Arabidopsis thaliana: one gene and its partner. The protein of the gene in region 1 interacts with the protein of each later gene in a biochemical or structural test. Each region holds a gene or a part of one and is shown in the gene's direction. Other genes may lie near its edges. The genes, in order: TOR and AT5G38640.

Evidence for each region.
Region 2: of the proteins of TOR (region 1) and AT5G38640, one has a biochemical effect on the other in vitro, tested with the Arabidopsis thaliana proteins (one large-scale study listed by BioGRID).

The regions. Positions count from the first base shown.
Region 1 is NC_003070.9:18,526,440-18,541,824, reverse strand, and holds the start of TOR (target of rapamycin), read left to right. Parts: upstream 1-1,829; 5' UTR 1,830-2,205; coding exon 2,206-2,370; intron 2,371-2,593; coding exon 2,594-2,932; intron 2,933-3,010; coding exon 3,011-3,085; intron 3,086-3,262; coding exon 3,263-3,435; intron 3,436-3,803; coding exon 3,804-3,902; intron 3,903-4,218; coding exon 4,219-4,378; intron 4,379-4,446; coding exon 4,447-4,590; intron 4,591-4,727; coding exon 4,728-4,897; intron 4,898-4,976; coding exon 4,977-5,181; intron 5,182-5,254; coding exon 5,255-5,443; intron 5,444-5,650; coding exon 5,651-5,803; intron 5,804-6,271; coding exon 6,272-6,393; intron 6,394-6,481; coding exon 6,482-6,581; intron 6,582-6,655; coding exon 6,656-6,751; intron 6,752-7,052; coding exon 7,053-7,183; intron 7,184-7,891; coding exon 7,892-7,994; intron 7,995-8,069; coding exon 8,070-8,252; intron 8,253-8,326; coding exon 8,327-8,419; intron 8,420-8,518; coding exon 8,519-8,554; intron 8,555-8,657; and 44 more. UniProt on the Arabidopsis thaliana protein: Essential cell growth regulator that controls development from early embryo to seed production. Controls plant growth in environmental stress conditions. Acts through the phosphorylation of downstream effectors that are recruited by the binding partner RAPTOR.
Region 2 is NC_003076.8:15,462,002-15,477,801, reverse strand, and holds AT5G38640 (NagB/RpiA/CoA transferase-like superfamily protein), read left to right. Parts: upstream 1-7,077; 5' UTR 7,078-7,127; coding exon 7,128-7,614; intron 7,615-7,717; coding exon 7,718-7,837; intron 7,838-7,989; coding exon 7,990-8,351; intron 8,352-8,514; coding exon 8,515-9,259; intron 9,260-9,352; coding exon 9,353-9,449; intron 9,450-9,541; coding exon 9,542-9,596; intron 9,597-9,616; exon of another isoform or gene 9,617-9,719; coding exon 9,720-9,782; 3' UTR 9,783-10,123; downstream 10,124-15,800. Other genes in the region: AT5G38680 (Galactose oxidase/kelch repeat superfamily protein), read right to left, coding at 1-478; AT5G38670 (Galactose oxidase/kelch repeat superfamily protein), read right to left, coding at 931-1,620, 1,831-2,016; AT5G38650 (Proteasome maturation factor UMP1), read left to right, coding at 5,103-5,228, 5,428-5,528, 5,947-6,044, 6,494-6,594; APE1 (acclimation of photosynthesis to environment), read left to right, coding at 2,305-2,583, 2,861-2,907, 2,979-3,081, 3,268-3,354, 3,681-3,764, 3,876-3,929, 4,080-4,160, 4,305-4,346 and 5 more; CYB-1 (cytochrome B561-1), read right to left, coding at 10,291-10,587, 10,684-10,883, 11,240-11,288, 11,515-11,661; AT5G38620 (MADS-box transcription factor family protein), read left to right, coding at 12,895-13,944.

The DNA.
Region 1 (15,385 bases):
TTATTTCTTTACTCCTTTATATGATTTTTTTAGTTAAATGTTTTTGTCTTTTACAATTTTGATATAATTTCTGGAATCGTTATTGAGGTTTATATGGTAGATTTTTTTCTTTTATACAGGAAACATATCAAGAGATTAAATAGTAACGTGTATATATATTTTTGCTGGTCTTGAATTCTTTTTAATGTATGTACATTTTGTTGTTGTTTTATTGACATTTCACACGTTTTATTAAATATATTTCTACTTAGATAACGATTGAAAATAGGAATACGTCGTATACTGTAATTTGTAAGATTTTAATGTAGCTTTTTTTGGCACTGATACTTGATTACTTCTAAAAACTGAAAGATCTTGTAAAATGCAGTTTTTTTAATGGAAGAGAGAAATAATGGAACAGTGGATAAAAAAAAGCCAAAGACCTTTTTGATTTGAAATGATTTAGCTTTTAAATTTTGAAATAAGCTGATGGAAAATAGTTAGAAGTGGATAATTTATCTATCTGTTTATCACTTAGGTTAGATGAATTGGTCCCAAAAGTTGGAGCACGCATGTATATAGTTGGCATCATTATCCTTTGCTAATAATATAAAACTTAAGAAGCTAATAAATTAATATTGACAAAAAAGTCTAAACTAATAATAAAATTCTTCTTTTTTTTTGATGAGGTTATTTATCCTATATGGAAATGTATATGTTATTATTTAAATTCTATACGTATAATGCGTTAATGATATAAAAAATTGAGTTATTTTGTGTCATTTTAACTCTTTTTTAAATAGTACTCTTAGTTGTAGTTTATTAATTTGGAGAGAAAAGAACACCAATATTTTCACCGACATTCTTGTCACGTTATGGGATTGCGCAACGTTAACACTTGGACCCTGTCTATTCACCATCCTTGATGTGTACGATGAAACCAAGCGATGCTATAGCCTCCCACAAGCCACAACTCTTTTGAAATTTTATGTTGGATGTGCTTCGTTTAATTTTCGAATGTAATGCTTATTTTGTCATACACAATCATTGTGATTATTTTCGTTGTAACAACGGAGAAACACGAACTATATTTTGGAGGAGCCATTTCTTTAGTTTTTCCTATACATATGAATATGAATACTACTTAACATACAAGCAAAACAAAAATTTACCATTGGAGAATAAATAATGATTTCTATGATTTAGAATTTTTATGAATAGAAAAACAAAGTTTCATCACATCTAACAATTCAAATCCACTCCATACCAAAAAAAAGAAAAACAATTCAAATTAACTGAATGATATGATTCACATTTCATCAATTTTTCAATATATGATATATCGATTACCATACAACTATTTTACAATTCTACTATTATTTGACATTTTTTATTCAAAATTTGACTAATATTCGATATTTTTTTGTATAGATATTATTCCTCTTATTTATTTAATTTGTTGACAAACTTAACCATATGCATTCAATTGAATTTTTTCATTTTCCCCATTATTTTTGTTCGTAATGACTACTAATTACAACAAAACTATAGTTTATTATTTTCCTACAATTTAATGATCATTTTAAAAACTCCTTATCTGCTTAAAAGCATAATTGGAAATAATAATAATAAAGTGAAATGACAATAAAAGAAAACTTATTCAAGAAACTACAAAGTTATTCCTTGACAAAAAAAGTTATTCTATTGTCCAGTGAACAAATATGAGTTTTTGACTATTTTTTTTTTCACAAGTAATTTTTTTTCTTTGACAAGTGTATATTAAACATTCTAAACATTACATAGCCCAAACAAAGACCCTTTCAGGGTTTTAAGTAATTAATCAGTGACAAAAAAAAATGAAAATATTGTATTTATAAGTTTTTGATAGACAAACATAAGTTTTACAATTTTCCAAGGAAAAAGTCATATTTTCCTAGTAAAAACCTTTCGGGTTTTCCAATTTATTTACCAAAGATAATTGGTCTCTGAAAGAACAAAGCAAAACCTAAGAAAGCTAAAAAGACACTCAGCGAATTGAATTTGTAAAAAAATAAGAGAAAAAATCTTGATTTCTTCTGCGATCTTCGGTTCTCGACGCATCATGTGTTGAAGATTCTTCTATCTTCCTCTGTACATACTCTCTCTCTGCCCAAGTGTTGTTGAACCAAAAAGGGGTCAGATTTAGGGTTTTTGGAAGATTTTTGTGGCTGGACTGGCCCTGCAGCGATGTCTACCTCGTCGCAATCTTTTGTGGCTGGACGGCCTGCATCCATGGCTTCCCCTTCGCAATCGCACCGCTTTTGTGGTCCCTCAGCCACCGCTTCTGGTGGCGGAAGCTTTGACACTTTGAATCGTGTCATCGCTGACCTTTGCAGCCGTGGTAATCCTAAGGTAATGAAGAACATTGTAAAGTATTCTCCCTTTTTATGCTTTAGTAGAAACCCATATAACCCTTTTGCTTTTATTGCTTATCTGACGGAATCTCTCTGTTCTGGTTAATGGAAAATTCGAAGTTTTAGTTCTTATAGGTCTGGCAATTTGTGGGTTTTGATCTATTGTTGTTGGTTTCCATCAAGTATGCGACTTTGTTTATGATTTTTGGTTGTTGTATTAGGAGGGAGCTCCTTTAGCGTTTAGGAAACACGTAGAGGAAGCAGTTCGTGATCTTAGTGGTGAAGCTTCCTCTAGGTTCATGGAGCAATTATATGACAGGATTGCTAATTTAATTGAGAGCACTGATGTGGCGGAAAACATGGGTGCACTCAGAGCCATTGATGAGTTGACGGAGATTGGATTTGGTGAGAATGCTACTAAGGTTTCTAGATTTGCGGGTTACATGAGGACTGTGTTCGAGTTGAAGCGTGATCCTGAAATCTTGGTGCTTGCTAGTAGAGTTTTGGGGCACCTTGCTCGGGCAGGTGGAGCAATGACTTCTGATGAAGTGGAGTTTCAGGTAAGATTGTTTGTTTCCCTCCCCTTCCTATCACTGTCTCGGCTCATAGTTGCTCAATTCTTGATCTCGTTTTCACAGATGAAAACAGCTTTTGATTGGCTTCGCGTAGACAGGGTGGAATATCGTCGTTTCGCCGCCGTTTTAATATTAAAGGTATCCTGATTTCAGCTGCCCGATCCTTTAGATAAGCAGATCATTTTTTCTTTTAGTTACTCAGAAAGAAACTTCTGAACTAATAAATTGGATTATAGATGTTTGAAAAATGATAGTGATGATAACTTTCCAATCCTAAGTTAATACGGATATGGATGTTTTCTTGCAACATTGCAGGAGATGGCCGAAAATGCTTCTACTGTCTTTAACGTTCATGTCCCTGAATTTGTGGATGCTATCTGGGTTGCACTTAGGGACCCCCAGTTGCAAGTGCGAGAACGAGCTGTTGAAGCTTTGCGTGCATGCCTTCGTGTTATTGAGAAAAGGGAGACTCGATGGCGAGTGCAGTGGTAAGTATTCTCTTATCCTTGAAAATGATAATGTCTGAAATGTTTTCCTTAGGTTATGTATTTGGTATGATATTTTTGATGCAAGGCTTTTCTTTGTGTTGTTGCAATACTTTCATTTGCAATCACCCTCATTTAAGTACTACTTTGTATATTTTATTGTGTAAATGCAACTTATATTAGCTTTTTATGCTGTGGTCCCCCCCCCCCCCCCAAAATGGATGATATTCGAATATATATTCTTCCCATGGTGATACGTTTTGCAGACTTTCTACTGCATTTATATATATCATTGCCAATGCAATGTTTCAAATTATCAATAGGGGTTTCCATCTTTATTAACTGATCTTCTCTCAATTTGGCTTTTACAGGTACTATCGAATGTTTGAAGCTACACAGGATGGGTTGGGCAGAAATGCTCCGGTTCACAGTATTCATGGTTCTTTACTTGCCGTGGGGGAGCTGTTGAGGTAAATGCAGAAGTGGTTATCTATTTTGAAAGCATCCCTTTCTTTTAGTCAGACACTCAAGTTTGATTCTGGAATATTTCCGTAGAACAACTTGTTTGTCCCCATGATGCTCGGGTTGTTTTGTTAGTTTGTCTTCGTATTGTAGTTTACATCATTAAAAAAGTAGGCAATTCATGTATATTCCTCCACTCTCAGTGTATACCTGAACAAAAGACTCTTGACGACGAAAATTACGTTGTTTTCTGTTATAAGCAGATTGATTTCATGGCATATTGGGTGTTAGAGTTTACAGCTTAATGCTAGAGTTCGTTTGCAGGAATACAGGTGAGTTCATGATGTCTAGGTATAGAGAAGTTGCCGAAATTGTCCTCAGATACCTTGAACATCGTGATCGCCTTGTTCGCCTTAGCATCACCTCGTTACTGCCTCGCATTGCTCACTTTCTCCGTGACCGGTTTGTGACAAACTATTTAACGGTAAGTGACTGAGAGATTCTTAAAACCAAAAAATTTCTGGAAACGTGACACGAATTACTTTCTTGCAGATATGCATGAATCATATTCTTACTGTGTTAAGAATACCGGCTGAAAGAGCCAGTGGGTTCATCGCCCTTGGGGAAATGGCTGGTGCTTTGGATGGTGAGCTTATCCATTATTTGCCGACAATTATGTCTCATCTGCGGGATGCGGTGGGTCAAATTTTATTTATTTATTTATTTATTTTGTAATTACGTTTTACTACTTTTGTGTCAAAGTATTATATTGGGTTTTAGTTTTGAAAACTGAACTAGACAAGTGGCTTTGTTCGACTATGTTGTCCCTGTAGATTGCTCCACGTAAAGGCAGACCTTTGCTTGAAGCTGTGGCTTGTGTTGGTAACATCGCAAAGGCAATGGGATCCACAGTGGAAACTCATGTTCGAGATCTTTTAGATGTTATGTTTTCATCTAGTCTCTCTTCCACACTTGTTGACGCTCTTGACCAGATAACCATCAGGTAAAGTTGAACGAAAGAAGTTTGTTATTACATACATTGATGTGTATACGTTTAATGCTGACAATTCTTTGTATCTCAGCATTCCTTCTTTGCTGCCAACAGTACAAGATCGGCTTCTAGATTGCATTTCGTTGGTTCTTTCAAAATCCCATTATTCTCAAGCAAAGCCTCCTGTTACCATTGTCCGAGGTAGTACAGTGGGCATGGCACCACAGTCTTCTGACCCTAGTTGTTCAGCTCAAGTTCAACTAGCCCTGCAGACTCTTGCTCGTTTCAATTTCAAGGTTGGCGCTCTTTGCGGATAACATTTTCTAAAGAATATGAAATTTCTGTCTTTGAGCTTCTGATTTCTGGCAGGGACATGATCTTCTTGAATTTGCTCGGGAGTCAGTTGTTGTTTATTTGGATGATGAGGATGCAGCCACAAGAAAAGATGCTGCTTTGTGTTGTTGCAGACTAATTGCAAATTCTCTTTCTGGCATCACACAATTTGGCTCGAGCAGGTCAACACGAGCAGGGGGGAGACGCAGGCGCCTTGTGGAAGAGGTTTTATATCATACTGAAAGCCCATTACATTTTTTTCTTATTATGTCTTTTAATTTCACTGTTTCTCATTACAAAAGGTTTCTTTTTATTATTTTCCAAATCTGAACTTAAGTATGTTAAACATGCTTCGTGATGGCATTTATAATTGCAATACCAGTGGCGGTTCCAATTTTCTGCTTGCTGAGAAATGATGTTTGGGTTCTGCAGATTGTGGAAAAGCTTCTCAGGACAGCCGTTGCAGATGCTGATGTAACTGTTCGCAAATCTATATTCGTTGCTTTATTTGGCAACCAATGTTTCGATGATTATCTAGCACAGGCTGATAGTTTGACTGCCATTTTTGCTTCCTTAAATGATGAGGTATGATTGTGTTATTTGTTTGAATAAAATAGCAGCTTAGATGTCATACTGCAGTCCTAATTTGTTACCGATCTTTTATTTGTCTCTCTTGGGTGAATTATTGTAATTGTATTGCTCTTTGAGATTCAATTTCATGGGTTCATGAAGTTGGTATTTAATTACTCCCCCTAATATCAAAATTTGGATACCAAGACGTAGCTGGGCTTTTAGTCTATGAATTAGCTTCTATTGTGTCACAAAACAGTGTTACTTATTAAGTTGTACTGGAAAAGTGCAGCTGAGATAACTTAATTGGATGATTTGTGGATGGAATGAATGCCTTTTGTTGGTGGATGCATCATGTGATACCCTGTTAACTTGATAGAATGTTTGGCTTATGTTTCACACTTTCACTCCACCTGGCTACAGTATCTGGCCTAGTCAATGGAACCATTTCAATTCATATATTACAATATCTCTGTTTAACAGGACCTTGATGTTCGAGAATATGCCATCTCAGTTGCTGGAAGGTTATCGGAAAAAAATCCAGCATACGTACTTCCAGCACTTCGTCGCCATCTTATACAGTTGTTGACCTATCTTGAGCTGAGGTAACTACAAATTTTTTAGTTCATATGGGAAGATTCATTTCCTATGATTATGTATCTGTTGCATTGACTTCAATTGTAATGTCAGCAGTGCAGATAACAAGTGCAGGGAAGAGAGTGCAAAGCTCCTTGGTTGTTTAGTTCGAAATTGTGAACGGCTCATTCTTCCATACGTAGCCCCTGTCCAAAAGGTTTAATTTCTTTTCATTTCTTAGATAGTATGGCTATTATTGTTGTTCACGGGGTTGTAACTCTTGTTTTCTAGGCACTTGTTGCGAGACTTAGTGAAGGAACTGGAGTGAATGCTAACAATAATATTGTCACTGGAGTTCTCGTAACTGTTGGGGATCTTGCAAGAGTGGTAAGTTGAAATATAATTGGCAAGTTTTAGATTCTATATTAAGTGTCGATTCAAACATAACTGCGTTTTTGCTGCGCGTTAAAGTTGCAGTCTGATTTTTGACTATTTCTATCTGTGTTCTAAGTCTGTGTTGGCTAAGCGTATTTCAAATTTCAATGCCCTGGCCGGCATCTAATATTGTATTTTTTGTTGTCTCTAAGTTAACAGAATGTTGGTACTTTTATTTCCTTTCCTGTCCTGTTATTTATTGTGTTTGGCTAAGATATTCCCTTCCTGGTTTTCTTTTGCGTTGCTTGCTCAGGGTGGCTTGGCAATGAGACAATATATTCCGGAGCTGATGCCTTTAATTGTTGAAGCTTTAATGGATGGAGCTGCTGTAGCAAAACGTGAGGTGGCTGTTTCTACTCTTGGTCAAGTTGTTCAAAGTACAGGGTATGAGATATTGACCTTCTTTTACGACTTTCTTCTTGTTTTATATGATAATGCTACTAGGCAATTTTGAACATGCTAATTTTCTTGTAAACTAAGACAATGCTACTATCTTGATTGGCGAAAGCCTGGTTGGACTAGATGAAAATACTGGATTCTAAGTGAATTTTTTGACACAAACGGGGCCTCCATCTCTTCTTATTAGCTAGGTAGAAGCCTGAGCTATCCTTAGGCTGTTTATGTGTTAATGTATACATATGTGTTATGTTTATCCTTTAACCTACTAAAAGTGAGAAAATTCTATATGAAATGACAATATTGTTATCCCTAGCTAGTTCTTCTATCTGCGGTAGATCTTTGTGATGGTTTTTTTTCCGTCTCTCCTGAGATGGCTCATTATTCCGGAGAAAGAATATTGCCTTTCTGTGTCCGGACTTGTCATGAGTTGTATTCTCTGTTTGTCGTGCGAAAGGATTGATTTACCAATACCTAGGATATTATGCTGCCTAGATTTAATCAACTGTATCACTGGTGTTTATGAAGTTGTAGACATTTGTAGACAGTGCGGTGATCAACTTGCATGTTACTGTTTAGTAGCTTGGGACATGTGCTAATTATTGTGCACATAACTAGTACAAAATGAAGGGAGTTCCAGAAGTTTACAATCCTCCCTGCATGTTATTTACGGCTCTAATTTCATTATGAACGTAGGTATGTTGTGACTCCATACAAGGAATACCCATTGTTGCTTGGGTTACTCTTGAAATTGCTGAAGGGTGACTTAGTGTGGTCTACCAGACGAGAAGTGCTCAAGGTAGTTTCTAGAGAATTGTTTTACTCTAGACTATTCTAGAAGATATTTTTGTGATAAACGTGGTTATATCTACAGGTTCTTGGAATTATGGGCGCTTTGGATCCTCATGTGCATAAACGTAACCAACAAAGTTTATCAGGATCACATGGTGAAGTTCCTCGCGGCACTGGTGATTCTGGTCAACCTATTCCATCAATTGATGAGTTACCTGTCGAACTCCGGCCGTCATTTGCTACATCTGAGGATTATTACTCAACGGTAGTTCTTAATTTGTGTGAATATATTTCATTTGTAGTCTGAATTGTGCTCAATTACTTTCCTTATTGTTATAGGTTGCTATCAACTCGCTTATGCGAATTCTTAGAGATGCATCACTTCTTAGTTACCACAAAAGGGTTGTTAGATCTCTGATGATCATTTTCAAGGTAACTAAAACCATCTTGACTGTTTTTTAAAATAAACTTGTGTTGGAACTGCAATGAGGAGGTTACAACTTTATCACTACTTTGTTTTTGCGAGGTTAGTCAATGGGATTGGGATGCGTGCCTTACTTGCCGAAGGTAGGTGTAAATAATATTGTATCTCCGGCAGCTTTTCGATAAATGCTCTCTCTGTTTTACGTTGTGGTAATTTGTTGGGTTGGTTCCACCTCTGAATTTGAAGGTTTTACCTGAGCTTTTTCACACTGTTCGAACATCTGATGAGAACCTGAAGGACTTCATTACGTGGGGTCTTGGGACTCTTGTTTCCATTGTTCGCCAGGTATATCCACCTTAATATTTTCAGTTATGGTCAAAATACGACCGACTTTGTGTAAACTCATAGCTTATGTTATCTGTGTACAGCACATACGCAAGTATCTGCCAGAGCTGCTTTCATTAGTCTCTGAACTATGGTCATCCTTCACCTTGCCCGGTCCCATACGCCCATCACGTGGTCTTCCGGTAAGTTGTATGCTGCCTAGAGTATGCTATGTTTCTTATTGATTAAGGACAGATATCTTATGGGGAGTACTTCGCCTCTCTTACTGATAATCAGGTTCTGCATCTACTGGAACATCTTTGCTTGGCACTTAATGATGAATTCAGAACTTATCTTCCAGTCATCCTTCCATGTTTCATCCAAGTATTAGGTGACGCCGAGCGGTTTAATGATTACACCTATGTTCCTGATATTCTCCACACACTCGAAGTGTTTGGCGGTCAGTAATACTTATCTTGTTTTGACATCCTCATAGTCATTTTATATTACTTGGGTATGCGAGTTCTAGTAATTAACGTATGCAGTTCTTTTACAAGAATGTAAAGAGGTTCCACATTATTAGATTGTGTAGTGTAAGATGATACAAGTAGTTTCGTTATTATATGCATATTTGTTTCTTATCTATTAAATCCAATTTTTTTTCGGTATATAGGTTCTTTGAATAGTCAGATTGTTTACTCCTGTAGTTTCCATTTTCTCACCATGGCCAGATTTCACTCTGATGGTTGACCCTTAGAGTCCTTATGTGCAGGAACTCTTGATGAGCACATGCATTTACTCCTTCCGGCACTTATTCGATTGTTTAAAGTAGATGCTCCTGTAGCTATAAGACGCGATGCCATCAAAACTTTGACAAGAGTAATCCCGTGTGTTCAGGTTAGGAGCTTTGGTTATTTATTTTGATTTTTTTTTTCCCTTTGCTGATCCAGAAAAAATTCCATATTAAGCTTCTTGTAATACTTTTAATTATCCGTATATATCCTCAGGTTACTGGTCATATCTCCGCTCTCGTGCATCACTTGAAGCTAGTATTAGATGGGTGAGTTATACTGATTGTCACTATCTGAAAAACAGTATATTGGTTACTTTTTCCTAAGGGTTTTCTTACAATACTTCTTCAAAACTTAGGCATTGTGTCACTATCTGGTTTTCTCTTAAATGGTTGACAATGCATTATCAAAAAGGATGGAATTATTATTATCTCATTAACTTTCAATCCGTCATTGTTACTGTTACAAATCTGTTTTCCATAAGTTGTTTGTATTGCTTAGTTACAATTTTTTCTGGCCACATGTATTTGTTATTAGAACTCCGCAGATGTTAGTTACATTTCTTAATATCATGGGATTTTATCTGCCATTATTGATGGGACCCAATTGTTTTCTAGTGGATTTTCATTTCACGTTTTTCTAAACCTTACTCGTGATTTCAGTTTCGTACGTATAAATATTCTTATGGGGTATATCTTCTGTAATCGCAGGAAGAATGATGAGTTGCGGAAAGATGCTGTCGATGCACTATGCTGTTTGGCTCATGCACTTGGAGAGGACTTCACCATATTCATTGAATCAATTCACAAGCTTTTATTGAAGCATCGATTGCGGGTCTTGCATTTTACTATCTTTTAAATAAAAATAGCAGCAAAAATTTATCTGTCATGTATTATAAATGTCATTTGTGAACTTCTGTCTGTAAAATCTCACTGTACAACATTTTTTCAGCATAAAGAATTTGAGGAAATTCATGCTCGCTGGCGGAGACGTGAACCATTGATTGTAGCTACAACTGCAACCCAACAATTAAGTAGGCGACTGCCAGTTGAGGTTATCAGGGATCCTGTAATTGAGAATGAGATCGATCCTTTCGAAGAAGGAACTGACAGAAACCATCAGGTACTCTTTTCTGTGTCGTATATAATCACATATAGATTCTTAATGTGTGAAAATTTTGTTATCAAGTTTCAAGTTAAAATCATGATTTTACTCTAACATTGTACAAAATTTCTGGTCGGCATAGTCATTATTAGTATGACTTCATTGAGGCAAACATGGGGTGTATTGTAGGGTTCCTTAGCTGAATAAGGCGGATCTTTTTTTCTTTCTTTTTCCTATCTAAATGATGGGTAGGTTTATCTATAGCAACGTTCATTCATTGAAGCTTAGTCTTGGTCCTGAGCCATTTGCTTCAATGAGTTTGTAAATATGTCCTCTATATTTCCTCTTCTCCATGGACATTCAGCTTTTAAAAACAAATAAAACTATATATGGGCTTGATTTAACATGATCCTCTAGTAAAGTTTATTTGGTTCTTTCTTAGTTTTGAAAGAGCTAAAACTTTCACTCATGGCTTTGATGATCTGCTGAACAGGTTAATGATGGTAGACTACGGACAGCTGGAGAAGCTTCTCAACGCAGCACCAAAGAAGATTGGGAGGAATGGATGAGACATTTTAGTATTGAATTACTTAAGGAGTCTCCCTCTCCAGCATTAAGAACTTGTGCAAAACTTGCTCAGTTGCAGGTGTTTCATCTATGCTCTTTCTTTTCCTCTCTCAAAAGGGTGCATTTTAATGATTGTGTTTTGCAGCCATTTGTCGGGAGAGAGTTGTTTGCTGCTGGCTTTGTCAGTTGCTGGGCACAGCTAAACGAGTCTAGCCAAAAGCAGTTAGTTAGGAGCTTGGAAATGGCCTTTTCATCTCCAAATATCCCTCCAGAAATTTTAGCTACACTACTCAATTTGGTATGTTCGTTGTTACATTACAAGAAAACTTAAACATGATAAAGACCTTTGATTGAGTCACTGGCTATAACGAACAGCAAATTTGTTTCCTGTGGCTATGCTTGTGCTTATTGAGTGCTTGTGTTTTAGCTTAGGCGATTGTTATGAGTTGACTACATTTTCCAAGACTGGAAACAAAAACTTCTTAGGTCACCATTTCTTTAGCGGTTGCACCTGTTAATCTTTCTATGTAAAACACGTTTTTTGTTGCTAAAACCATCAACAAAACGATCTGTGAGTGTACATGGAAACATGACGTGTAATTTTTATTTAATCTAATATTAACACTATAATCCAAATATCTGCTTATACTTCGTTTAATCTATATTACGTTTAGGTTGGATAAACAATCATAAGTTCAGAATCAATATCAACCTACCTTTATGTGTGATCCTGTTGCTTGGTCCTGTCACTTGTGCTTGATTTTATTATTTCTCTTCTTAGGCAGAGTTTATGGAACATGATGAGAAGCCTCTTCCCATTGATATTCGTCTTCTGGGGGCTCTTGCTGAAAAGGTTTGCGTTATGTATTTGCTAGTTAAATTAGATTTGGTACTTTTTTCATTTGCGTATCAAGAATTCATCTGATTTTCTTGGTAATGTGCAATATTCCAACTTTGTAGTGCCGTGTTTTTGCCAAAGCTCTGCATTATAAAGAGATGGAATTTGAAGGTCCACGATCCAAGAGGATGGATGCCAACCCAGTTGCTGTTGTCGAGGCTCTTATACACATAAATAATCAGTTACACCAGCATGAGGTACACTGTATTTTGTATCCTATTTCGACCATCTTTGATATTTGTTATTATTGATTGGTTGGAATTCTTTGTATAGGCTGCTGTCGGTATACTAACCTATGCTCAACAACATCTTGATGTGCAATTAAAAGAATCATGGTAACATGGCTTTTCTGAATCATGATGCACTTATTTTCAGTTCTGTTTGATAGGCATTCCGTCACAAGATTGTGTGTGGTTCCATTCTTTGATCCTAATCAGTGGAAAAGCACTAACAGTGTTTGTTTCTAGGTATGAGAAGCTGCAGCGCTGGGACGATGCACTCAAGGCGTACACTTTGAAAGCATCTCAAACAACAAATCCTCATCTTGTATTAGAAGCCACATTAGGTTTGTGGTAACCAAGACTAATATTGGGAGGATTTAGTGGGTTTTTTTCTTCGATAATGTTTTTTTCTAAGTTCTGTTGGCATTTTTTTGTCGGTATTCTGTTAGTAGTTCATAGAGAACTGTGGGTTCATAACATTCTTACAAGTTAGCAGAACAACAGATCAACGCATTTTTTTCCAGTCTAAAATTCATATGATGCTTCTCTTTTCTTTTCATGAAATGGCCTGATTCTATTGCTTATTTACCACGTTGTAGGACAAATGAGATGTCTTGCTGCACTTGCACGATGGGAAGAGCTCAACAATCTCTGCAAAGAGTACTGGAGTCCTGCTGAGCCATCTGCGCGTCTGGAAATGGCACCAATGGTTGGTAACTTCTACTTATGCTACATTCGGTGATATAGCTACATGGTTACATAATGTCTTTTTGCAACCATACTAGGCTGCACAAGCTGCATGGAACATGGGAGAGTGGGATCAAATGGCCGAATATGTGTCTCGGCTAGATGATGGTGATGAAACAAAGCTTCGGGGTTTAGCAAGCCCGGTTTCTAGTGGCGATGGGAGCAGTAATGGCACATTCTTCAGGGCTGTTCTGTTAGTTCGAAGGGCAAAGGTACACTTGGACCTATATTTTCGTACTATAAATCTTATCAGGCTTACTTATAATCTATTTGCAGACACTAATTTCTGCGTATGTGTGCCTGTGGATATTTTTCTTTCCTTTTTAGTACGACGAGGCACGCGAATATGTGGAAAGAGCTAGAAAATGTCTTGCCACAGAACTTGCAGCGCTGGTAGGTTTCATTTCTGGTAGTATTTTCATTATAAACTTTTGTGAAAAATATCTATGAATCATCTGTTGTGAATAAAGGGAACAGATGTATATCAGCAAAGATATTTGTAACTGGTCTCAGCCTTTTCCATTATGTTCTTGAAACTATTTGAGTACGCCTTGTGGTGTTGGAAGTAGGATTATACATTCCTGACATCTTAGTTACATATTTAGCTCTATTTAAATAACATTTTGTGCATGCTATCGTTGGTTCCTTTCAATAGAAGCATCATGTAATCACCATGTTACCTTCTTAGTTGCTCACGCATACTGAAAAACTTGTAATTGTCTATTTGCGCCTTCTACAGGTTTTGGAGAGCTATGAGCGTGCGTACAGCAATATGGTTCGTGTTCAGCAGCTGTCAGAACTAGAGGAGGTTAGATCTCAATTATCCAAGATCCCTTCTCCTGGACACCCTCCCTAACACCCCTCCATATACATGATTAATCTTTCTATTTTTTTCCCCTGTTGTATCGATACTAGGTAATTGAATATTATACGCTGCCTGTGGGAAATACTATTGCCGAAGAACGGAGAGCTCTAATTCGTAATATGTGGACTCAGCGGATTCAGGGATCTAAGCGTAATGTGGAGGTATATTATTTTTAATGTTATCATGTTAGTTGAGCCACTAGTGAATGACAAGGCATTTGGTATTTTAAGCATCAAATATTGCAGTATGGTGACTTTATTAAATGAATCTTCGCTAGGATCAAATTGATTTTTTCCATATTAGGTTTGCTTTATTTAGTTTCCGTCTGTTGATTTATAAAGTAAAGTAGCTTCTTACCAAACTGTTAGTCAGAGCTTGTATCCTACGTAGATAAAAAAACAAATCCAAATAAGAAAACTCATTAAAATTTTATTGAGTGATCTCAGGTTTTTTGTATAATAGTGTGCTTTTTAATACTTTGCATTCCCAATACTACTCAGGTGTGGCAAGCACTTTTGGCTGTCCGGGCACTTGTGCTACCTCCTACAGAAGATGTGGAAACTTGGCTCAAGTTTGCCTCGCTTTGTCGAAAGAGTGGGAGGATCAGTCAGGCGAAATCTACTCTACTCAAGCTCTTACCGGTCTTGAACTTTTACCTTTTGATTGTTGAATTTTCTCTGCCAAGAGTGTATCTTTATTCTGTTATGTCTAACTTGGGCCCTTATTTTGCAGTTTGATCCAGAAGTATCACCAGAAAACATGCAATATCACGGACCTCCACAAGTGATGCTTGGATACTTAAAATACCAATGGTCACTTGGAGAGGAACGTAAGCGCAAAGAGGCATTTACCAAGCTGCAGGTATGTCATATACCAGTTGCTACTTGCATTGTCTGGGCTTATTCTCTTTTTCACATTTTCCCATATCTTGCTTGAACGGCCATGTTATAGCTTCCCTCGATCTAAATTTTAATTGTTTCTAGATTCTAACGAGAGAGCTCTCAAGTGTGCCACATTCTCAATCTGACATACTGGCTAGCATGGTATCTAGCAAGGGCGCAAATGTTCCACTTCTTGCACGTGTAAATCTCAAACTGGGAACGTGGCAGTGGGCACTTTCTTCCGGTTTGAATGATGGGTCTATTCAAGGTGAATTGTAGTTGCTTTTAAATGTGTAAGTGTAATCAAACTACGTCTGACCTTAACACTTTGGTGACCAAATATACTCTTTTCCAGAAATTCGTGATGCGTTTGACAAATCTACTTGCTATGCTCCTAAATGGGCTAAAGCATGGCACACATGGGCATTATTCAATACAGCAGTGATGTCGCATTACATTTCAAGAGGTCAAATTGCTTCCCAGTACGTTGTTTCTGCAGTCACTGGATATTTTTATTCTATAGCATGTGCAGCAAATGCCAAAGGAGTTGATGATAGTTTACAGGTAAAGCGTGCA
Region 2 (15,800 bases), on another chromosome or scaffold:
TTGGAGCCTCGCGCCACGTGTGAGACCGGCAATCAAAAATCGAGACACTAGAGTAAGGTGATATGGATCTGCCAATGTTGTAGATATTAGAACCAACCGCCACGAGACTGGAACGTTGCACAAGACGAGGATGTGGAATTGATACTGTAGCCAAAACATACCCACTTGACTTCTTCTTATTACTTGTTTCAGAAGATAGGGCTTGATCAGGTTTCAAGCAGAGAGTAAACCAGCTAGGGCTCTCAAAAGGATTTAAGTATAAGCATACATATAGACAACCCTCGGTGCGGTTCAAGAGTGACCGTTCCTTGTAAAGCTCCGGTGAAGCTAGGAGAGATCGAAAGCTCTTGGAGACAAAGGAGAGAATCGGATAATACAATCTTGAGACTCGTGCGATGCAGCTTATTATCAAAGCATCGGGAAGTGACGGATTTGAGTTCGATTCCGGCGCTGGCGAAAACTTTTCCGGGGACGACATTGGATGAGTTTAAGAGACGAAAATGGCTGTTGAACTTGGAGAAAACAAATTTAGGGTTGGACTTTATATATAGAGGGATTAAAACCGGTTAATGCCTTTGGTTAAGGGGAGAACCGGTTATTTGTTTTGTATGTTTTGTTTGGTTAAGCATTGAGTAGTGAGTTGTTGATAGCTTCATTTATGAACAACCAAAAAGGCTCTATTTGTATGCTAATAATGATCACTCGAAATCTCTAGGTATGAAACGATCCTTATAGTTGTGAGATGTGAGTTAGTTTTAAGAATTTATGTATGTATTCTATATTTCTTATTATGATATTGTATATTCAGTTTTTGTAATGTCGGATTTCTTTTATGGTAAAGAATTATGCTTATCAATCAATAAGTGACATAAATTAATTAGAAGTGAAACAAGGGACAAAATCATAGTTTCAAGGCTCGTAACGCATTCATCAAAGAGTAGCAGCAAGAACCTTGACGAATTCATATTGTCTAGGGACTGTAAGCACATGAGCAAACCATTCAACTTTTCCCCATATTTCCAAACTTCCGCGTCTTTCAAGCGCAATCTCCGCACACCAAATCATCTTCTTTCGGCGCCCAGGCAAATAGTCGTCCCACAAAACTGCCATCTTCCCACCATAATCAACCATTCTAAGACAAGCATCAATAGGGAACTTAGGTAATCCTACCATACCCTTCAAGTCTCTCCACTCTCTTTCCTCACTGTGATACCACCATACGGACGTTGAGATATCTCCTTTTACAATAGTGTACCAAACATTCCCTATATTGCGATAACAATCATATAAATACTTATTATGTTCTATGCTTGGTGTAACCAGGTCCCATCTACCTTCCTTGGAATTGTAAGCATCCACACCTTTGTAGCTCACCAGGTGCAATTTTCCGTCAAACCTTACGATTTTGTAGTGAAAGTCGTGTTTTGTCTCGCTGCAAGGGACAGACAAAGGATCCCAAGTTTGTGTATTTGTGTCAAACACTTGGAACGTCATGGAGTCGCCATCTTTGCATCTTCCTGATACATATATCTTTTCATCAAGAACGCAAGCAGTACATGACATTAGCTTCACCCGCAACCTAGGGCCCTCGTGCCACGTGTTAGACGTGCAATACAGAATCTAGACGCTAGAGGAAGGCAATTCATATCCGCCAATGTTGTAGATACTAGAACAAACCGACACAATGCTCGAAGAAGATGACTCAAGAGGAGTATGTGGAAATGGGACTGTAGCCAAAACATACCCACTTGACTTTAGGGTTCCAGTATGTTTACGGAAAAGAGTAAACCACCTCGGTTTCTCATCTTAAGGATTTAACTTTAAGCACACATAGAGACAACTCTCCGTGCGGTCCAAGAGTGATCGGGTCTTGTAAAGCTCCGGTGAAGCTATGAGAGATCGAAAGCTCTTGGAGACGAGGGAGAGAGCCGGATAATACAATCTTGAGACCCGTGCGACGCAGCTCAATATCAAATCATCGGGAAGTGACGGATTAGGGTTCGTTTGCGACTGCATCGTGTACCGCTTCTTCTCCAACTTTGCAGAGAACTTCAAGGATCGGTCTTTATAAAGAAATTTCCAAAACCGGCTCACGTCTTTGCTTAAGGAAAAACCGGTTCAACTTTCCATAGTCAATAGAATCCGAACCGCCAATTGATTTTGATTGTTGACCGGGTTTAGTAGACCGAATTTAGAATAGGTGAACCGTGGCCAGAATTTTGGCGGCCGATACACTTCTTTACCTCAGCCTCACATTACTACTCTCACAAAAGATACACAGAGAGAGAAGAGAAGAGGAAGAAAATGGGATCTATAACGGTAGCTCCGGGAACCACCGTCTTATTCTCCAGTCGGCGGCTAGATCTTTGCGGTCGTCGCCATGAGAATCTATCCGTCGTTTCGTCCTCACAACCGTCTCTGATGCCAAAGCAGAGATGGCTTTATATTCCCGAGACGAGGTTGAAAAGAGAGGTTTTAAAGCTCGATGTCGTCGGAAGAGCTGCTGATTCCACGAGCTCTTCTCCATCAGTAGCTTCCGGTGATAGAACCTTAATTCCTGATGATGAATTCACTTTAGCCAAGGTTTTAAATCCCTAATTAAAGAGTTTCTTCAAATTCATTGTGTTTATATAATTAACTATTCCTGAATCAGTCATTGCCTTGTCCAATTTTGTGAACTGTGTGAGATTTATGGTAAAAGTATAGTGTCTCTCCAAGTAGGTAGATTCGATTATTAGTGGTCTGAAATTGAGAATTAGGAAGGATTTGATGTATGCAACTCATAGTTTATAGGTGGTATTGAATGTGCGTTGGAATAATTTTGGACACTGAAATTTTTTCCATATGTTTTGCATTGCAGATTTCATTTGGTGTTATTGGGCTAGGTCTCGGGGTTTCGCTACTCTCGTGAGTTTTCTCTTGCCTTCTTTGTTGCTATGGGTATATGTGAGGTTTAGCATTATGGATCTGTTTAACAGGTATGGTTTTGGGGCCTATTTTACTATCCTTCCTGGAACTGAGTGGTCTGCTATAATGCTAACATATGGATTTCCCCTTTCTATTATCGGAATGGCTCTTAAGGTATGCTCTTTATGCTCTTTAGTTATCTTTCTCACTATCATGTCCTTGAGAAAGTGGAATGTTTCGGATAACTGTAAAATTACTGAGAAAATTGACTTTTGTATTAGAGTTACTCATTTCTTTCTTTGAGTTTTCGGAATGGTTAATTGTTTTAGTCCCTGAGGATGGGTTTTGCTTCCTTTGCAGTACGCAGAACTCAAACCAGTTCCTTGCTTGAGCTATTCGGATGCGGTGAAGCTTAGAGAAAGCTGTGCTACTCCTATTTTAACGCAGGTACGTAGTGGTTCTGGTTACTCTCGACTGACCGGAGTACCTTCAATCTGATTTTAGTTGTTCTTCAGCTCGTCTTTGTTACATTAATTTCCTAAAACATATTTATGTTTCTGATAAGAGGAAGGGGTGTTAGTAGTTTTCGTCATTAGTATTTCGAAATTCAATCTAAACACTAGCTTGATTTCAGTATCATAGGTTCTTTTGCAGAAAGTCTTGCTCAGTTTAGTTTCCCTATATGACATCACATCGTAGTTTTGTCAGTGCACATAGGATTTTAAATTTACTTCTCGTGAATTGTTAATGTGCCTTCTTCTTTCTTTTATTAGGTTAGAAATGATGTCACGAGATACCGTTATGGAGATGAACAACATTTGGAAGAAGCACTAAAACGAATCTTTCAATATGGGCTGGTAAGCTATTTTGTTGAAACAAAATGAAGCACGAAAACAAAATGAAGCACAACACACGCTTCTTGTACTTCCGCTTTAACCTCTCTTTCTTTCGACTGTTTTGGTCATAAGGGAGGAGGAATCCCGAGACGTAGTGCACCTATCTTACAGCTGATAAGGGAAGAGGTACATTTCTTCACGCGCATGACTTTACATCATATTATTTACATGAATCATCAAAATATATAACTCAATTTTTACTTGCATATGACATGGATATTGACTGGTGAAACTAAACTTAAACGGATCATTTTTGATAACTCATCATGTCTGTAGGTCCTGACCGATGGTCGGTACTGTGTGGTCCTTGTATTTGAGGCCAAAGCTCTGACGTTGTCAGATTTTGAAAAAAGACAGGTAAGAGTTAGATTCATATACTACTAACAAATCAGCTTGGCGCATAAGAAAATAGCTTAAGTAGCGTTGGTTTTATCAAATCTAGTTTTTAAGAAGTAGCAAAACATAAAGCTGGAACTAAGCATAAAAATTTTGTTTTGATAGGCGAAATTCACTTCCTTCTTTGGACCAAACATCACGGCAGAAGTCGGTAAGTAGTGAATCAATTCTCCATTCATGTTTATGAATTTCTTGTTCTCGGTTCTTAAAAAATTATTATTGTTGTTTTGCTTTGAAGGTAAAGGAGAAAGTGAGAATCTCTATGAAGTAAGACTGATTTCCAACCTCTCCACCAACTCTGTATCTTCTACCTCTTGAACATAGACAATCATGTATACGGCGACGTTTTCAGTCAATGTTATTTTGGTCTTGTAAATCAATTCTATATAATTATCCTATGTATAAAAAGTTCATACTATTTACAGAAATGGGAATTGGAACTAGCCTTGTCGAATGGTAATACGGTCGGAAGGGGACAAGCTACGATTGCAACGTGTTCTAGAGTAATTTTGATTTGAGTAAACAAAATACATATACTGTATATTATTCATATCTTGGTGAACAATACAAAATATATTAGTTTGTTTTAAATTACCAAACTAAAGCCTTAAAAAAAGTATCAAATTAAGCACATAAGTTAGAAAAGAAAAATGTGTTGTAAGAAAGAAAAAAGGTTAGGAAAGAAATATGCGACAGAAAAAAGAGTTTTATGGGCTTACAAATAAGAAAAGCCCAAATGGGCCTTGAGTTTGAGCTTTACATAAAATTCATTCTACTAAACTTAAGCAAAATCATTCCTTCTTCTTTCTCTGAAACTTTTGCCTTGCTTGCTTGCCCAGAAAGTCGCCGAGAAAGTTAAAAGTAGAACGGCGGAGGAAAAAAAAACGAAGAGGAAGAGGAGAGATGGAGTCGCAGAAGAAGATAGCTCATGAGATCGGAGGTATGAAGAACGATGCTCTTCGCTTTGGTCTTCACGGCGTTAAGAGCGATATCCTTAGATCTCATCCTCTCGAAACGGCTTACGAATCTGTAATCAATCACTTCACAATCTTTTTTTTTTTTTTTATTGATATTGAGGAATTAGAAAATTAGGCTAATTAAGGAACTTAGGGTGTTGATGAATAAGCTTCGTGTTGATTCAGAAATTTGAGAATTGGGATTTTTTGACGGGGTTTCTGAAATTAGTTTTTTTTTTTCCTTTCTATAAACTTGTTTATTGTGATTTCAGGGGAAGCAATCACAAGAAGAAATGAAGAGGAGAGTGATCACGCATACTTATGGAGCTGCTCTTCCTTTGAAGATGGATCTTGATAGACAAATCCTTTCTCGGTATGGATCTTTAAATCTGTAGCATATGAAATTCTGAATTACACTGATTATTAGGTATGAGAATGTATGAGAATCTTCCTTAGGCTTTATAGAATACTGTTAAGATTGAAATATGGTTTCCTAATGCTAGTAATCTATCTTGATTAGGTCAATTGCTGTTCTGAATTTTGAAATATTGTTAGTACAAATGTGTATATGAATCATCATAATGATTATATCGAAAATTCGGAATCATAATCGTGTAGTGCTACTTAGAATTAGATTTGCAGAACCATAAACGCGTAGTGGATACTCTTAAATTAGTAGCAATATGTAGATTGAATTCAGAACCATAAACGCATAGAGCAGCCTCTTCTTCATTGAATATTTATTGGTGAATTGAATATTTATTGTATATCTTTTTATGTGGAGTATTCAGGTTTCAGAGACCTCCTGGACCAATTCCTTCATCAATGCTTGGCCTTGAAGTCTACACAGGAGCTCTAGATAATTTTGGTTTTGAGGATTACTTGAATGGTAATTGTTTTACACCAGTTTTCCCATTTGGTTGTGCATTAGAGTTTTCTATTCCTACAATCTTTGAGCATTTCTCAAAACATGACCGTCACATACTGCTTGCATTGTGTAACCAAATCATCCTCATCCTTGCATAGAGTTTAACTCTTTGTTTAGCATATAATAGAAAAGTGTCTCAACTTGTTTATTTCGTTTCGCTTACTAGTCTCTACTTTGTAGATTGTTCCACTCCAAAACACCAATAGACAGTGACAAACCTTTGTTCCAGTTAGACTGTCACAAATCATCGAGCATTGCTCAAAAATTGACTGTCACATACTACTTACTTACATTGTGTAACCAAAGTTGAACTTTTGGTTCAGTATATAAGAGAAAAATGTTTAAACTTTTTAATTCTCTTAGTTTCACAATTTATATTGTTCTGACGATGAATGGTGTATAATCTACAGATCCTCGCGAATCCGAGACGCTGAAACCAGTAGACTTTCACCACGGGATGGAAGTTCGGCTTGGTCTCTCCAAAGGCCCAGCTTCCCCAAGTTTCATGTAGTCACCACCATCAAAGTATTTCCTTCGTCAGGTCTCATATGCTTTTTAATCTGAGTAAGATCATGTTATGAATTTCCACCAGCCCTAAAAGAATCTACTTGTTGTTTGATCTCTTCTCTATACTGTGTCTCCTTTGCTCTGAACATGATAAAACATATGAACTGTGTTTCAGTTCTTATCTCTCTCAGTTCACAATTTGTTGGACTTGCTTAGTTATTTAAATAAGATTATGCTCCTATTTCATTATTATGTTACTGACACCAAAACCTTGGATACTAGATTCTATTAGAATAAATAAATTGCATATGGATTAATACTCTAAACAAAACAAAAACAAAAGAACAAAGTAAGATTGTTTTAGTGACTCGGACTGGACTGTTAACATCGGATAAATCTGAAAAAGTAAATAAATAAAAATAAAAACCCTATTCTACGTTTTATTCGTCTGGGAAAACAAAAATTAAATTCGATCCCCAAAATTAATAATTCCGTCTTCACCGAGAAAAAATCCAGAGCTTCTTCTCCTCCGACGCGATGGAGTCTCGTCGGAACCCTCGCGCCGTAGTAGATCCAAAGGTCCGACAAGTCGGTTTCTTCACATCATCTCAACCCGATTCATCAACTCAACAACAACAACCCGACCCGATCGCTGCTACCTCTGCTTCTTCTTCTTCTTCCACCATTTCTCCTTCCGGTAACTCACTCTCCCCCGTCATGATTCCTCCTCCTCGTCTCAATTCCTCTGATACTTTCCCTCTTCGAGTCGCTGTCGCTGGTGCTGCTGCGTCAGCCGTGTCTCCTTCTTCGTTTTCTTACTCAAGTCGCCGTGATTTCCCTGATGGATCAACGACGGCGTCTCCTGGACGCCATTCCAGGGGTAGTTTCGTAAAATCATCTGTTCCTGTTGCTTCTTCGCTGCCTGGTATTGGGATGGATTCTATGGCTGCTGCTAAATCTAGTAGTGTTCCTGCTAGTGGTTTAACCACTGTCTCCGTCGTTACCATGCCTCCTGGACTTTCTGGTACTCTCACTTTTGATCTTGTGGAATCATAATTTGATTGATTTTGAAATTTGTTCTTTAGGATATATGAGGCTAATGTATTCACAATGTTATATAATTGCAGAGAAGGCTAGTGGAATGGAGGTGCAGAGTGACCAGAAGAAGCCATTGAAAGAGAAAACCACTAAAGCTGAGAGACGAGCTATTCAAGAAGCTCAAAGAGCTGCTAAAGCTGCTGCAAAAGGTGCATTTTTGATTTAAACCAATGTGTGGTTTTATCGCAATGAATGATTCGTCAGCTTAGTACAGAGATTTGATATGCTGGTTGCTCTGTTGTGTTATCGTTGTGTATTTTGCAATATCTTAATCAGTCTGTGTAATACTGTGCTATATCAGCTGATGGTGGGAAGGTGGCACCAGTGTCCTCAGCCTCGGTGGCTTCAACAAGTGTTAAAGCTGCTAAACCAGCGAAGGCTACATCTCAGAAGAATGATGTTGCTGTTGCTACTGGAGCAGCTGAGAAGAAGGGAGGTCCATCTGAAAAAGATAGAAAGAAAGATGCTCCTCATCCCCGCATGCAGTATGATGATGAGAGTAGAGTCGTGAAGGCTAAAAGACGTGCTGTTGTAAAACAGACCGAGGCTAAAAACAGGGTTGAGCTATTTAGGCATTTGCCTCAGTATGAGCATGGCACTCAACTTCCTGATCTCGAGACTAAGTTCTTCCAACTTGACCCTATGCATCCTGCTGTGTACAAGGTATTTGTTTTCTCTTGAATTTATCTGGTTGGTGCTTCTAATAAACTATTAATAATCTCTTTGTTAAAACAAGGAACCGTTTGTTCTAATGAGTGGTTTATATTGCTTCATTAAGATGAATGTTACTTGTATACTGAATGAGTATCAGTTGTTGTGGTATCAGGTTGGTCTTCAATATCTTTCTGGGGATATCTCTGGTGGCAATGCCAGGTGTATTGCGATGCTCCAAGCATTCCAAGAGGTTGTCAAAGATTATTCAACACCGCCTGAGAAGTCTCTTAACAGGGACATGACTGCGAAAATAAGTAGCTACGTCTCCTTCCTCATAGAATGCCGTCCGCTTTCGATTAGCATGGGAAACGCAATACGATTTGTGAAAAACAGGATTGCAAAGCTGCCTATAACACTTTCTGAATCTGAAGCAAAAGCTACTCTTCAGTCAGATATTGAACGGTTCATTAACGAGAAGATCATAGTGGCAGATACGGTGATAGTCAAACATGCTGTTACTAAAATAAGAGACGGTGATGTCCTTCTGACCTACGGATCTCCCACTGCTGTTGAGATGGTAATATTACATGCACATGAACTCAGGAAAAAGTTTCGAGTCTTGGTGGTGGATTCTCGTCCAAAGCTTGAAGGGCAGCTACTGCTTCGTAGATTGATCAAACGAGGCATTAACTGTACATACACTCATATAAATGCCATTTCATATATCATGCATGAAGTCACCAAAGTGTTTTTGGGCGCCTCGTCAGTTTTGTCTAACGGAACAGTTTATTCAAGGGTTGGGACTGCTTGTGTTGCAATGGTTGCAAATGCATTCCGTGTTCCTGTGCTTGTATGTTGCGAAGCCTACAAGTTCCATGAGAGGGTGCAATTGGATTCAATATGTTCCAATGAGCTTGGTATGCAATATCTTCTCTCGATATCAGTATCATCTTATACCGCCTTTGATTTTGTTTTACCTTACATTGGGTTTCTTGCTTCTTTACCTTTAGGTGATCCAAATGCTATTTCAGAAGTTCATGGAAGAGAAGACATAAACTATTTAGATGGCTTGACCAACAACGCAAACCTGCAGTTTTTGAACTTGATGTAAGCTTGTGTTTATCGGAGAAGTGAAACTATGTTCTGTTAATACTAATCCTCTCTGCCACTAAACTCGTTTGTGATTTTTCTAATGACAGGTATGATGCTACACCTTCAGATTACATTTCCATGATAATCACAGATTATGGCATGGTAAGATTAACCATCGTCTCTTAAAAACATAGCATTAGGTTCCTGAAGTCTCAGACCTATAAAATACAGTTTCTCCACTTATTCAGAATCTCAAACCATTGAACGCAATGTTTTCGTTTTCAGGTACCTCCCACAAGTGTGCCTGTCATCGTGAGAGAATATCAGAAAGAACACTTGCTTGTCTAAGCAAAGCTCATTTTTGCGAAAGCTCTTCTTCTCCAACCCCCTCCTCTAGCTCAGGCTCTTCTCATCACAACCCAGATAGAATAACTACCGGCACTGCCTCCCCTCATCCGCTTCTTTTCCTGAGTACCGGGTTCATTTTTTTTGGCCTTGACTTGTTTTTAGAAACTTTTGACTCTGTGAAGAGTGCGATTCATCATCCGCCTCTCCGGGAAGATTTTATCGATATCGGTGATGTTTTTCTTTGTCTGTGATGTATGAGTGAGGCTTCTCTTACTCTCCCTTCTCATGGAGGTTGATACAAATCTTTCTCAGATTCTATGCCAATTTTTGTTGGGTTCAGTCTTCAACATTGGTTACACGTGTTCTCATGCTTTACTTGTATTACAGTCATATATGCACTGCTCGTTAAATCAGTTCAAAAAGACTCAATTACATCACAAATTGTCTCTTAAATAAACAATGTTTCGATAGGTCGAAATGTTGAAAGAGATCTTTTCGAGGGTTTACTCTATTGTGTGAGAACTTGATCCTTGCCACTGACCGGAGTAACCACACCGAGTATCACGAAACCGCCAAGAATAAGGATTAGAACGCCCATTGTGTTGACTAACATTGCCTCTGTGGAATACCGAGTTATCACTTGATTCACTTGCAGGAACGTCACCTTCTCAAGTATCCCTGTGGTTGCAGTCACCAACGCCAATGCATATATGGAAATCCCTAAGAACACATGCCATGGCATCAAACTGGCTCTGCTGTTTCTTGAACCACCCGGGTACCAATAAGTCACAAACCCTGCAGCCCACTGTTTGTAACAATAGATTTGAGTGAGTTCTTGATATTTATTCTTACTGAGTAATGGAGATTGTTATTTTAAAACAAGTCAGAACAGAGAGTGTACCTGGAATGCAAAGAGAAAGAGGCAAGCAAGGCCGAGCCACGAATGGAGACTGTAGAAATTTTCGATCCCTTTGTCAATATGGAACTTGAGAGCAGCCCACACTCCGATCAGGCTTAGAATAAATGCTGTGAGTTGTAGTGTAAGATGAACCAGTTTTTTCAAGTTCTTTGTACCTTGAACTGACTTATATGCTAACATAGCTGCATAAGTTGAAGGTACCGTTCATGTTAGAAACGAAAACATGTCCATGGTCTCTTTACCGAATTAACAATGCCGTAACTAAAAACAAAAAAAACTAATCCTATGAGTCCTAAACCTCTTGACATAAAATTTCAATGTACTCAAATGTTAAAAAGGGCAATTCAACAGTTCAGTCTCTTTGACAAATGAAGTATGCGGAAATCGAACATGAAAACCGATACAACGAATACTAAAACCTCTTGACATTAGAATAGTCGCCAGACGGTAATATACTACAAATTTGAAGTCTAAAATATGAAGTTAAGACGGTAATATACTACAAACTCTTAACATGTGAAGGAGATTGTTTGCTTACCTTCTCCATTGAAGAGTATGAGTCCAATCACCATCATCACTGGATGAACCTAAAAACAAAGACATTTGACATCATCAGATATATATCTACCAATGATGACATTATACATCCAAATATGAGTCTCAGATCATAGCTTGTGATCACACAGAAAAGTAAAATCCAAATTTCAATATCTCAACAACACAATCAAGAAATATGAATCTCAGATACAGCAACAAGAACATTTCATCCAATCCATTTCACATGTGAGTCAAAACAACAATCGAGAGAATTACATTAAAGATGTGATCTTTGTTATCAGAAGAAAGAGCTAAGCCTCCTCTGTAATGAACAGTCCATGTCAAAACCAAAGCCGCGATGATGAAACCCAAAACTCTCACTACCATGAAGATCGGAAATCCACCCAGCACCGGAACCGCCATACTAAGCCCAGAAAATGCGAGTCTTTTATACGGCGATCAAAATCAGGATGAATTAGGGCTAGGGTTTTAGTTTTTAGTCGAATTTTGGGGATTTCTGAATCACCCCCTGTGTTTTAGATCGGCAATTACTCGACTTTGAGTTTGAGGTCAACCAGAGTGATTTGCCAGAAATATTATTTTTATAAGATTTTTTAATTATTATTAGTAATTTGATTTAAGGGTAAAAAAATGGAGCTTTGTGTCACTCACAAAACTGATTAGAGTAAAGATCTTTTGTTTATGTCTACTTTGCCTATTTTTATTTTTATTTTGAGAGAATTACAATGACACACACCCATAGATTTTTATTTCAGAGGCAAAACAGTATTGATTAATATTGAATAGTAAAAAAGATGAAATTCTCCAAAAGTATCTCTTTGTTATGAAAAATAAAGAAAGTGTGGCAAAGTGTAAGTCTTCCGGTCGTTAACAATGTTTTCTTCTGCTACCATGTAAGCTTTGTTAACTTCATAATCACATTTTAAGAGTGATACTACATTGTTGATCTTGTGATTAGAAAGAATAAACACGATAATGTGAAGAACCAACTATATATTTGTTTGTGTCTCTCATAATAATCTGACAATTTTTTTTTTGTAGAATCTAAGAAAATAATTATAAAACAAAATAACTAAAAATATCGCTAAATAAATATGAATGATAAGAAAATAACTAAAAATTATCAAAATAAAAATAAATAAATTATCTAACGTTCTAATTAAATACTACACTAATAAATAAATACTAAATTTGTTTATAAAATTAATAGTAATATAAATAATTTGGAGGCAAAATTTAGTTATTTTATAAATTTTGTTTTTAAACTATTAAAAAGAGTCTTAGGTAATTCTTTTTTTGTTTTTTTTTGTTTTTGTGTGGCGAAGGTCCATAGAGCATAGTTGAAATTATATATCTATTCTTGTCCATCTTTGAATAATTTATCATCAATAATGTTATGCTTGTACATAAGCAAATAAGAAAGGATGAAAAAAAAAAAAAAAAGGGGATTCTGGTGGATGGTTAGGCTTAGCCCATATTACGGTCCATGTGGTTTAATCGGTTAAGGAGGATGATATGGGGTTTCGATATTTCCTTTTTCATATGAGATTCGATAGTCCCTTATATATATGAGACTGAGAGATAGAAGAAGCCTTCACTTCAATTATCTGAAAATTGAGAAAAAAATCAATCAGAATGGTGAAAGGCACGAAGAGAAAGATTGCGATTGAGACGATACAGAAGAGAGATTCCCTTAGGGTTACCTGCACCAAACGCCGTAAAGGTCTCTATAGCAAAGCCTCTCAGCTTTGTCTTCTCTCCGACGCACAAATCGCTATCTTAGCGACTCCTCCTTCTTCTGAATCCGACGTCTCTTTCTACTCTTTCGGTCACTCCTCTGTTGATGCCGTTGTCTCTGCTTTTCTCTCCGGAAAACGTCCTGTTTCGGCTCCGAAGGATAACAAAGAGACGAGGGAGGACGTTGGTATCTGTTTGACTCGCAAGAATCTAGGGTTAGGGTTTTGGTGGAATGACGAGAGCCTTGTGAGATCGGAGAATCCTCAAGAGATTAGTGAAGCGATCGGTTCCATGTGGACTCTGTTGAGTAATCTCAAGGAGTTGCGTGCGGATGAAGCTTGCGTTAACGATCACAAGGACTTGAAGAAGAATGAGAAGAGCGATGTTCACGGAACTCAAGATCAAACCCTAATTTTTCAGTCCGCTTCTGCAGTTTGTTGCATCCCTGAAAATCTCAACGATATTACTCAAGAGCCAAATCAAACCCTAGATATTCAGTCCAGTAGTTCTGCAATCTGTTGCGTCCCTGATAAATCACCTGAAATTTTCAATGAAATCACTGAAGAACAAGATCAGATTCTCTCGATTTGTGAAACTTTTTGTGTTACGGATAATAACAACAACAACAACAACAACGCTGCTTTACCTGAAGTTAACCTATATTACAATCAAGACATGGCTATTGATCAACTCATTGACTTCAACACCCCTTTTGAAAGCTCGATAGATGATTGGTTTTCGGACAACACTACTCATCAGGAGACGACTAGTGCAAGTATTTTGAACGATGTTGGTGTTGATGATCAAGTCTCGGTGGATACAAATCCGTTTTCTTATTTTCAAAGCCTTGAAGATGCAGATTTGGTGTTTCAGAGATGTTTGGATGGAGATAATCTACGATTCTCTGATTGTTTCAATGACTTTGCAAACACTATTGCAGCAGTTTGAAGATAATCTCTCTGCAGTTTTCAAATCAACTTCTCTTTGTTATCTGTATGTATTGATTCTATTAGAGATTTATTTGTTCTAGCAATGTAATGAATGATCTGGTTTGACCTCGATCAGTTTTCCATATATGTATGAGGGAAATTGATCGAACTCAAACTGGTTCTCTGCTTCATCAGTTTGGTTTAATGATAATATTTGTGTTCTGTTTCTATGTTTTGTATTTGTAGTTTTAAGTCCAACAAACTCATGTCTTTTTATAAATCTTAATCGGATAAAAAAAAAGGAAATGTCTTTAATTTATGGCAAAATTGGTAGCTAACCAATGAGTATGATAAGAGAATCAGGTGAAATTTCGATTATATACATAGAGTTAACCAACTGGTATGCAATTGTATCATTTACACATTCTACAAAGAAATTGCCACTGAATAAACTTCAGGTTCCTCTGTTTCATTCTTAAAGTCTCAGAGTGGGGACCAAGATCAACATGATACAAAGTGATCAAAGCTAGATTATGTTCATTCATGCATGTCCTGCATACATTATGTTCATTCATGCATGTCCTGCATACTCCGATGCATGCATTGCAATGGTAGAGAAATAGAATGCCCTTCACTTTCCTCTTTTTAAATGCCTTTCAATCGAACATAGTCATCACTATTCAAGTAACACATTATCCAATGATATACGCTCTTTTTCTATAACTTAGATTCAAATGCACACCAATAAAATTGATCATATGACATATACAGCTTAAACAAATATTTTGTTTTAGGACCTAGCTAGATTAGCTTGTTAGGACCGCAAACAACAAATATACAGCTTAAACAAATAATTTGTTCTCTTACGACCGAGAAAGAGAGGACATGACCACGACCTTTCATAGAGTCATCTCCAGCAGTTTCGACGAGACCATAAGATTGAGATTCACATTACTTGCGTCACTATCGACAAGTATACAATTGAGAGACGGTAAAAAATAATTATACTTTATTTTTTTTCATCTATGGATACTATGGCATTATTTATGCTCTATAAAATGGTCTACGGTGACACAAGTAATATTAACTACTGCCGAGCAACTATGTCATTGTCAACAATGCAAACAGACCATGACTTGTTCATTGTGAAGCAAGTCATCCATAACTATCCTCAATGTATGACCTAACGAGGAAACTATATGAGAGAAATAGTAATTAAGTAGAAGATGCACAAATAAATGAAAGAATGAGAAATGTGGGAAGATACTTTTTTGGATGTATTCAGTATTTTTATATAATATCTCAATTAAAATACACATCTTTGCTGATCTTCAAACTCGAATACATGATACCTTATAAACTTGGGAAAAATGTCAATTTATTAATATAATTTTTTTTTTTGAGTAACTATGAAATGTATGTATTATAGAAGTAAACAAACTATTTTTTAAATCTTTCTATTACAAAATTTTGGTATATTTGTGGTGAACCAAAATATTTGTTACAAAAATTGATTATTTTTTCGTACAAAATGATTCCAACAACATTAACACTGGAGGAACAAAAGATATAAACAATGTAGTTTTTCCTTTAAATTTGAAGTTCATTTCAATATAAGTTTGAACTAAAATAACTAAATAATTTAAGAAAGTATCCCATTTAATTTAACAGTTAACATATTGCCTAAGTAAAGTAGATTCTTGAGGAGCTTGTCGATTTTGTTGTAAAATCCGTTACAAAATGAAAATCAAATTGTTCACAGTTAGTTGGAATTTTTTTTGGTTCACAGTCAATAATAAATGGAGAGTTATAGTATATATTTGGATCACTATTACTGAATTAGAAATAGAGTACTGATTGGATAATTTTAATTAT